Linked DNA regions of Cricetulus griseus. The protein of the gene in region 2 purifies or fractionates together with the protein of the main gene of each other region. This does not show direct contact. Links are inferred from orthologs where the notes say so. Each region holds a gene or a part of one and is shown on either strand. Other genes may lie near its edges.

Region 1 (5,039 bases), on a different chromosome or scaffold from region 2:
GGCTTTGGAGGTGTCCTGGAACTACCCCTTGTAGATCAGGCTGGTCTCCAACTCACAAAGATCCACCTGCCTCTGCCTCCTGAATGCTGGGATTAAAGGCATGCCCCACCAACGCCCAGTGACACCCCTCCTCCTTTTCTAATTAACAAATAAAAAATATCTTTGTAAACTGGGCATTGGTGGCGCACACCTTTAATCTCAGCACTCAGGAGGCAGAGGCAGGTGGATCTGTGAGTTTGAGGCCAGGCTGGTCTACAGAGTGAGTTCCAGTACAGCCTCCAAAGACAGAGAAACCCTGCCTTGAAAAAACAAAACAAAAAGTGAGAGGGGCTGCTGAGATGACTCCGAAGGCAAGGGCACCCCAATGCCAAGCCTGACACCCTGAGTTCAATTCCTAGAAGCCACATGGTAGAAGAAAAACTACTCTCAAGTTGTTCTCTGATGTTCAGGAGCATACTGTAGTATCCAGACATGATCGAACACATGTATGTACATAAATACACAAAATAAATAAAACAATTTAAAAAATAAGAAAAACAAAAATACTTGAAGAAGCCAGTAATTCACTCCTCGAGCCTTACTGACTTCATTCCAGGACTGAAAAGTGCTTATGTCCTTCAGCTCCTAACATACGTGCACTCTCTCTCGCTCACTCTCTCACTCTCTTGGTCAGTGGTTCCAAATTCTCCAGGGCACACCCAGTTATCTCACAGAGAACTGCCTTAAGAAAACAGGCTGTGGAGTCAGACTAACTTCAAACTTTCTGCTCTACTACTAAACATTCGGGCAATTGCTTAACTGAAACCCCAACTTCCTCTTTGAAAAATCAGAGAAAATAAACTCTTAACTCATCAGGCTACACGCTGCATAGTACAGTAGCTGGCACAGAATGTAAGTACAGGAACTTATACCCAGTTTATTATTGAAGTTTGCCCCCAAAGTCGTCTTTAAGCAGAACAGCTATTTCTAAGTAGTTAAAAGGATAAACACAAAAACCATCCAGTAAACCTTACAGTATTTTTTTTAGCAAAGAATAAGATGAATCTCATTCAAATAGTGGATATAGAAAGTTCTGTAGAACTGATGACGGGGTGTGTGTGTGTGTGTGTGTGTGTGTGTGTATGCGATTTGCCTACATCTATGTCTGTACCCAGAAAGGCCAGAAGAGGGCATCAAATAGGATTCCCTGGGCCTTAAGTTACAGAGCTACCATGTGGATGTTGAAAATTGAACCTGGGTCCTCTGCAAGAGCAGCTTAATTGCTGAAAATATGGCCACTTTGGAGGTTAGCTTCAAAGTAGATGCAGATGCCAGGCCTTTCAAATGCATTATTTGTTTCATAGCTTTCTACTGAGTGGGGGCTGTGAAGAAGTCCATGTCCTAACCCTAACCCTTTGTCATTGGACACAATCATTTACAGCTTCATCTGCTTCCTGGTTTCCTCCCCTTAGAAGCCAGGTGTGGATATTAACTTCAACCACATGCCGGCAGAGTAGCTACATTCTCAGGGTCTTATGTGATGTTAGCCTGCTTTGACTCACACGGAGAATTTTCAAAACCACTAAGGCCCAGACTGACATCTATGCTAAATAAATCAGGTTTTCCTAGGGCAAGACCTGGGTATCAGTCTCTTAAAACTCTCCTATAATTTATAACTGCTGCCAAGTGGAGCACCAAACTTCTAGGACTGACTCAAACAACACTGGAGAGTGAATGGTGGAGCTGCTTCTTTCCAGGCAGAAGGTCCAGAGTTCCACACTCAGAACTGAGGGGACAGAAATGGAGAGGGAAGAAAATAGGAAAGGAGAAGGGGGAAAGGGAGAGAGGGGGAGGGGAGAAGGGAAGGAGAGAAAATGAGACGGAGGACTGGAAGTGGGCTAGAAAGAGGAAACACTCAGAAGCAAATGACGGTGGATGAAAGTAGAAGAATCAGGCGTACCTAGGAAGGGCGCGGGGGGGGAGGTGGGGGGTGTCCATGTCCCGGACAATTATTTCTAAGTCTTATGATGGAAACCAGATGTGGAGCAAGAAATTCCACGGACTAGCGGAATGCAAAAGGGTTCACCCAAGTTGTGTGTGTATCCTTTTGATTATTTTCCTTCTTTATTGCATGTTCGACCAGTCGACATGCTCATGAAAATACTCTATAATAGCTGAAAACCTTCTGTAGAAGAATGTCTGGCCTCAGTTTCCAGTGGGCCAGTCCCTCAACTGCTTGAGCGGTTAGTGATAACTTAAATGAGAGCTAACCCTTCAGACACAGGAACTTGCACTGAAAAGCAGGTTACACGGACCGCTTGCAACACAGAAAATATAAACAGGTGAGCTAAGACGGCAAACCCGATCTTGACTTTGGGCAATGTTTTTCCACCACATAAATCCTTCTGTTGACATGCCTTAAGCACGCAACCCAACACCCTCGGGAAAAAAAAAATGTTTTGTTTTGATAAAGACCCTAGTGTAAAGACAAGACCCACGAATAATTCCCATATCTGGGCTTGACTGAGTTGGCTGAGTGTGGTGAATTTTACCATCTGCTCTAAAAAACATCCTCAAAGCCAACACCTGCCAGGAAGAAAGGTGATCCGAGGGCCTCGCCGTGGCCTCTAGTGAAGGGAGTTGGCCTCGGGAATGTGGACTCATAATGCCACAGTAGCAGAAGCCAAGCCCCAGCATCCCCCGCACGAACCCACGCACTCTATTAGTCCACTTGGTAGGAAAAACCCGACCCTGTCCCAGTACCAGCTGCGGGATCAAACTGGGCTAGAATGGGACCAGATCACCCCTAGACCCGGCGGACCTGGAGCCACCCCTGCTCCCACGTTTCCTCCTTAACCAGCGCCCAGCCAATGAGAGGCCACCTCCGCTCAGCTCCGCAGCCTCCTGCGCCCGCATCCCCGCAGCCCCTGCGCGAGCGGCAAAGGATGCCCTCGGGCTGGAGGGTCGCGGCTACTGCGACGCTACCCGTACGCATAGAGTCCTCCCCGGTGCCGCCCCGCTACCCCAGGTACCTGTGGGGTCGCCTTCTGCCCAATACGGGCGCGTCGCCGCCAGAAAGCACAGAAGCAGGAGCCGGCAGTCGGGCGCCACAAGCGCCCTCAGGCCAGTGAGTGAGCGCATGACGCGGGCGAGTCGGTTCTGGAGGTCTCTGTTGCGCCCTTGGCTTGCTGCGATCCGTCTCCTATCTGTCGCTGCGCGCACTTGCTGGTAACCGGGCGCCCACTGCCAGTCCCGGGGCCAGGACACGCGAGAAAAAGCGGAGTGGGAGGGGCCCGACCGCCCTGGCCTCCTCCCCCGAGACGCTCCCAGCGCACCCGAGGCCGGCCCAGCCTTGCGCCGGCCCTTCATCAATTATGCAGCCCGCTGCAGGCGCGCCCGGATGTGCTGTGTAACCCCTGCAGCAGCATCCTCTCCCGCCCCCACCCTCTCGACTTGCCCAGGTTGGGGAGGCAGCTAGCTAATCGAGCCAGCCAGGTGATGTCTAGCCCATCACCTCCGGGACGTGTTCCAACTCCCTACAGACTGTTCTTTGCATCCGTTGGGTGGGTTCGCTTATTTACTTTGATGAGACAGGTGGAAATGACAGGATATTTCTGCTCCTGTACATCTTTAGATTTATTTTTGCCAAACCCGAGGCGCTATCCTGTGTCCCTGAGCCCGGAACTTAATGTTCCTGGGAGCTTCCTATCAGTCATTCACACCCTCCCCCAATCTCTGAAGGTTTAGCTAGTTCCCTCCGGATTAAGGTTTCAGAGTCCCAAGGCCCCGTAGTGTGTCTCCTTTTGTTTGCTCGTGGCAACAGTTTTCCTGGCGCCAAAGAGCTCAAGAAACAAAAACTAAGTAAAGGGGTACTATGTAAACTGCAGAAGGCCATTCACCTTTGTCAAGCATTGTGGAAAACAATGTTATCTCTTATCTGTGAGGGACCTGAGGTTGGAATTTTCTTAAGTCTTTCACCAAATGAATTAAGATAATTGAAAACCATTGTTTTGCTGGTCAGGGGAGAAGGATCCTTATAGTCTAACGCAGCAGCCTTACTTAGCAGTCCTTACTGTAGGGACCTCCAGGTAAAACTGGAGGAAGGAATTTCAGAATGAGACGGTGAGAAGCACAGCTGGAGTTAATTACAAAGGAGTTTTGCTCAGGGTAGATTTAAATTCGAGGGTTAATACAAAGGATAAAACGCACCCGACACCGTGGGGAGTGGGTGGTAGTTCAGAGCTGTGTCTTAACATTAACCATCCGTACCATTTTGGTGACTATCAAGTTACAGCTCAAAGGACTACTAAAGAAACATTTTTTTTTTCTTTTATCCCGCTTTTTTGTTAGGTGAAATTAGAGGGTGGCTCCAATGGTGCCTTAGGTGGAATTACAATCTGATAAGATTCAAAGATAGACTGCAAGCCGTCTACTGGATAGTTAGATCACTTCTTTTTGCTGTAAATAGGGTTTCATGTGAAATTGCTGGAAAACTTCAGGTTTATACATGGAAAATGAGAAAGGCCATATACACTGAGGCGTTGAAGGGTGATGCATTACTTCTTTTACATTTTTATTTGAGGTGTAGGAAAGGCCCTAGCAGGCCCAGGCCTGACAAACATGGTTCTGGCAACCTTGCCCATCCTCCTTCCCTCTCCCTTGTAAACCGTAGATTACAACCCTAAAGCAAGCCCCCAAAACCTATTCCCTTGTTTAGCCAATTTCTCCTTCTGAGGCTGACTATCAAGGTCCAGCTATCAAAGTATTGACATCCAGCAATCAAAAGCCCCCTTTGGTTCACCTAATTAATATGTCCAATGGAAAAAAAAAAAAAAAAAAAAAAAAAAAACGGGCGTTGGTGGCGCATGCATCCCAGCACTCAGGAGGCAGAGGCAGGCAGATCACTGTGAGTTCGAGGCCAGCCTAGTCTAAAGAGTGAGTTCCAGAACAGCCTCCAAAACAATACAGAGAAACCCTGTCTTGAAAACCAAAAAGAGAAAAAAGAAAAAAAAAAGTCCAATCAAAATATACCACTGCATCCTAGCCCATTCTAACACAGA
Region 2 (5,061 bases):
GCTCTTGAACTTGAGACCTGGCCTCCTCCCAAGTGCTGGGATTACAGGTACTCACAACCATACCCACGTGGATTTTTGTTTTTCTCAGGCTAACAAAGGCAAATCAAATTCAAGAAGAAGTATGATGTTTGGGAGCTGGAAAAAAGGCTCATCAGTTAAAAGCACTTCCCGCTCTTCCAGAGGGCCAGAGCCACCCTCACAACCACCTATCAATCCGGATCCAGGGGATCTGGTGTCCTCTTCTGACTTCCGTGGACACCCATATACATGGGGCATACTTTCACACAAATAACTTTCACACATATAACACATATAACTTTCACACATATAGCATAAATGTCAATCTTTTTAAAAGTAGGTCTGTAGAGAGAGCTCAGCAGATTGCTTGCTGCTCCTCCTGGTGACCTGTTTGGCTCAGGGTGTCCACACCAGGCAGCTCACAATTGCCTGTAAGTCCAGCTCCAAGAGATCAGGCCTCCACATACCCACATAAATAAAAATGTAAAGTATGGGGTTTAGGATATGTCCCCTAACAAACTGAAAATGACTAGCTCACAACTTCTCAAAGACCCTCTTAAGGCAAGGATTGAGCAAAGGAAAACTGACTGGACAGGCATCCTTCCTTACTGCCAGAGCCACTGGGGCCCAGTTGTTTTCAGCTAGTTTGTTTGTTTTTCAACAGAGTCAGATAAAAATCCTTTATTAGGGAAGGGGCTCAAATGAGAAAGTTATCAACAAGCGGTATCCCGGGAGGAGTCAGCGCGCCCTGCCGAGAGCAGGGAGACCTGTGCAACTGGGAGCAGCTCCCCTCTTTCAGGGGGAGGGGTAGCTGGAGGTGAGACTGGACGGCAGGTTGGGAGGGCTCTGGGCAGCCCCATGTAGATGAAGCTGCCAGAGAGGATGAAAGAGCTGCACACCAGGAAAGAGGTACTGAAGTCTCCTGTCTTATCCCTTAGGAAACCTGAGAAGAGGGATAAAGGAATTTAGAGGCCCGGCATCCCAGGGGCAGAAGTCTTAAGCGAATCTCCAGACTCTGCCCTTACCTGACAGGGGAGGGCCCAGGAGTCCCCCGAGGCTCATCAGCATCATCACCAGCCCTGTAGCCTGCACCACACCTCCAATGCCCACCAGTCCCGGGAGCACACCGAAAACCAGTGGCGCATAACTCCCGGCGCTCAGGCCGTAGGCTCCAGCCGCAGCTAGCAGGGGAGCCCCCCAACCCTCCTCTGTCCCCGCAGTGGGCACTAGTCCCACTGCCAGTACCCCTAACCCAGTCAGAGACCCAAACACAACCAGAAGACGCGGAAGGGGCACCCAGCCCTGGTCTGCTAGCCATCCGCTGACCAGTCGGGCACTCGCATCTCCCACTGCAGCGACAGCCACCACCAACGCTGCCCCGTAACCCCCCATGCCCTGGTCTAAAGCGTGAGGACCCAAATGCACATAGGGGACGAAGTATCCGCCCCCAATCAAGGCGGTGCCCAAAGCAAAGATTGAAAAGGCTCGGCGCCTGAAGAGACCTAGGCCAAGGGCAGCTAAGGGGGTTCGAGGTGGGGCCAAGGGGTCACCAGAGAGAGCTAAGGGTCGTAGCAAGGCGCCACAGGGTGTGAGGTGGAGGGTGACAGCGCCAAGGAGGAGTAAGGCACCCCGCCAGCCGAAAGTATCAAGGAGGAACTGCAAGGCAGGTGCCAGGAGCAACGAGGATGCCCCATTACCGGTGAGCGCCAACCCTACCGCCAAGACCCGACGGCGGGAGAAGTACCGAGAGAGGGTACCCAGGGCAGGGGCGAACACCAGGGCCCAGCCGGAGCCTGCAAATGGATAGGACAGGATGAGGGTATGAGGATGGTTTTCCTAGCATTCCTTAGCCCTGCTTCTCTTCTCCACGCGTTCTCTCTCTCTCTCTCTCTCTCTCTCTCTCTCTCTCTCTCTCTCTCTCTCTCTCTCTCTCTCTCTCTCTCTCTCTCTCTCTCTCTCTCCTCCTGGTTTGGTCCCCTACCCCACAAGAAGCTCCTGTCCCCATTATAACCCCTGTAGCATACGGGCATCCCATTCTTCTTACCAGCGAGGAGACCCAGGCCGAGGTAGAGGTGTAGCAGGCTTCGGGCGAAAGCCGAGAAGACCAAGCCAAGCGAGGTTAGGACGCCCCCAACCATCACCACGGGGCGTGCCCCCCAGCGAGTGCTCAGGGCGCTGCCCACTGGGCCTAGAAGGGGGCGGAGTCAACGAAGACATGCCCCAGGACCCCCAAACTATCTCCAACACTTCTCATTGGCTGTTTTGTCTGGCCTGGTAACTCCTCCCTTTGACCTCAAGACCCACTCTTCTAGAAATTGGTTCCACCAGTAGCTCTCAGGTTGTCTGGTAATCAAGTCTCCTGTCTCCCATCACTACATTCACGGCCTCTCCACCCGGTTCCCGCCTCCCACCTCGAGGGCCCCCCCTCACTGGCTGCCTGCTGCACGGCCAAGGCCAGGGCGCTGACCCACGCAGTGTCCTGGGCGCTTCGTTCAAAGTGCTCCGCGAGGTCGGGGAGGGCAAGGCCCAGGGAGCGTAAGAGCCCGTAGGAGAGCCCGTTCACGGCGAATGCTGCGGCCGCCACCACCCAGCCCCAGCCCCCGTCCGGGGGTCCGGCTGGCTTGGGGGTCATCGCCGTCTGCTGGGGTGGGGAAACACCTGTGAATGAAGTCTCCACGCCTGGGCCTCCGCTAGGGAGCTGACGTCCCTGAGATCCAGCCTCGGGCTGCTCGCCCAGGGTGGGCACGTCGCCCCGAGCATGGGCGCGGGAACCAGGCCTGGGGATAGAAGTCCTGGGTGCGCGTGAGGTCCTGGAATGGGGGGCAGCAGGATCCCCCGGGCCGGGGGCTCCTCCTTCCCAAACCCTCTTTCTCTTACCCGACCTCTCCCGGCGTTGGGGGTAGGGAAAGGGCGAAGGTGGGTTCAGCCGGATTTTCCCCGCGGGTTCCAGGCAGGCAGGATTCTGCAGAGCAGCCAGCCAGTGCAGAGATGGAGCCCAACTTGGGCCGGCTCTCTCCGTAAACAGAGATCACCACAGGGGCCCGAGCCACCTGGGACGCGGGTGGGGGTGGGGGTGTGAGTGCTGAGGGCGGGCAAGCGAGACAGCCAATCCACCAAGCCTGGGCCGAGGCCTGACGCCGAGTCCCACGGGGATTGAATTATCCACACACAACCCCCGGTCCTGGATAGGGAACCGCGCGGAATGAGTGTGCCGGGTGGCCGCGCCCCGCCCCTCCCCGCGCCTCCCGGCGCCGCGGGGCTCACGCCCACGCACCTGCAGCCGGCTGCGCACGCAAGAAGAGTCGGGTTGCAATCCCTGCTCGGCCAGCTGCCCACGCGTGAAAATAGCGGTGGGTGATCTCCAAAGCCTAAAAGAGTTCTTCGATTCTCGGGTTGTTGGGGAGGATCCTGTAAACCTCCGACATCTAATCACTGGCCTCCAATGGACAACACTAGCAAACCCTCTGGGGAAGATAATTTCCAGTACCAAGCCCGGAGATGTTCCAGGCAATCTTTACACACTTTGTCATTTCATCTTTACAATATCCCTATGACGAAGGTGTTATCCCCATTTTACAAATGGAGTAACTGATGGTTTGGGTTAGGTGACCTCCCCAAATCGTTCAGTTTCAAAAAAAGAAAGTGGAAATATTTGAATTTAGGTTTAGCTCACAGTGGGAGGATACAGGGCGAAAAGACCAACGAGTGATAACAGCCTGCCACAGTCGAGGGAAATAGCCTGGAGACAGATTGATGTGAACTGCCCTGGAAAGGGCAGCGTCTATGCAGAACCACAGTGCGTAGGATTCTAAACCAAGGGTGGCTGGGAATAATTCAGAGAAATTAAGCCAGATGTCTTTTGTTTTGTTTGTTAGATTGCTGAAGACTCTAGCGAGCATCCCTCTTTACAGGTCACTATTGCTTTTCTTCAGCCATTTGACTCAATAGGTGTGCTCTTTGGTTTAATCATTAAACAATGCCATTGAAGTTTCAGCAATTTGCTGGTTGGAGCACATATCAACCCATAGCCACAGGATGGCAGTGTTTCCTAATGAATGAGAAAGCATCTACCTAGAAAGGAAAGAAAAGTATAGCTCAAAAGTTGTGATGCTGGAAGGCTAAAGAGTGCACAGATTTTCAGAGGCTCACCATTGTGGGTAAGGCCCACAATCGTCAAGGGCAAGCCAAGCTACTTTTCCATCCAACCCTCCCACCCCGGGGAATTAGCTTCTTCCCTACTCCGGTCTACACTTCTCAATTCTAGGTTTTAGCATACATTGTTTTTCTTTGATGAAATGCCCTCGTACAGGAGGATTTGAAGGTTTGAGGTCCTGCTACATACACTTTAGGAAAGTGCCCTCACTGGTTTCACCAGCCAGGGGCTGACTTTGTGAAAGTCACTGAGGTGGTGGAGCCTGCAGGTCACCAGGGAGGCAGGGAACTGGTTTTCCGAGAAGGCTAGTGAGGAACCAGGCCAACCGAAAGGAATTGCTTTCTCCATGGTGAAGTAGAAATATAGGCAGGGAGGAGACGGGGGCCTCTAGGTCTGGGCTGTACCAGGTAATGCTGTGCACTTTGGCAGGATTTGAGCCCCAGAAGCCTGTAACAGCACATTCCTCTTCTACCCTATGTTCTTAGCCAGAGTTGTGTGTTGATCGTGGAGTTAATGCAGCTTTGGAAAAATGGACTCCCAACAAGAAATACTGAGCCTGACTTTCAGCTCTATGTCTTAGCTATCTGATGGCAAACAAGTATCTGTTTCCTCATTTTTAAAAATGGTTATAATAATAGTTACTTGATAGGATTGTTAAAAGGATTAAATTTGTCATGGTGTATGCATGTGAAAGAGACTTAGAACAGTGTCTGAATGTGATGTGTGCTAGCCCCATGGTTACCACAGTAACTCAGGGCAATTTAACTGGACTCTATAGCATTGTTTCCCTTTGCCAGGTGGCTACTTCAGACTCAAACTGATCTAGTAAGTTCAAGGTCAATGAAACACATTAATCCAGTGAGTTTTAGTAGAATCACATGGGTTAGAAA

Evidence for each region. The genes of interacting proteins can lie anywhere in the genome.
Region 1: the proteins of Slc16a11 (region 2) and Emb purify together in Homo sapiens (co-immunoprecipitation; 3 studies listed by BioGRID and IntAct, counting the BioPlex papers as one, with this or other methods). This does not show direct contact. The link is inferred for Cricetulus griseus from reciprocal best matches to the Homo sapiens genes SLC16A11 and EMB.

The regions. Positions count from the first base shown.
Region 1 is NC_048595.1:334,932,761-334,937,799, reverse strand, and holds the start of Emb (embigin), read right to left. Parts: upstream 3,121-5,039; coding exon 3,012-3,120; intron 1-3,011. UniProt on the Homo sapiens protein: Plays a role in the outgrowth of motoneurons and in the formation of neuromuscular junctions.
Region 2 is NC_048600.1:84,036,885-84,041,945, reverse strand, and holds Slc16a11 (monocarboxylate transporter 11), read right to left. Parts: upstream 3,177-5,061; 5' UTR 2,896-3,176; intron 2,796-2,895; 5' UTR 2,651-2,795; coding exon 2,449-2,650; intron 2,207-2,448; coding exon 2,063-2,206; intron 1,812-2,062; coding exon 1,044-1,811; intron 962-1,043; coding exon 732-961; 3' UTR 685-731; downstream 1-684. UniProt on the Homo sapiens protein: Proton-linked monocarboxylate transporter. It catalyzes the transport of pyruvate across the plasma membrane.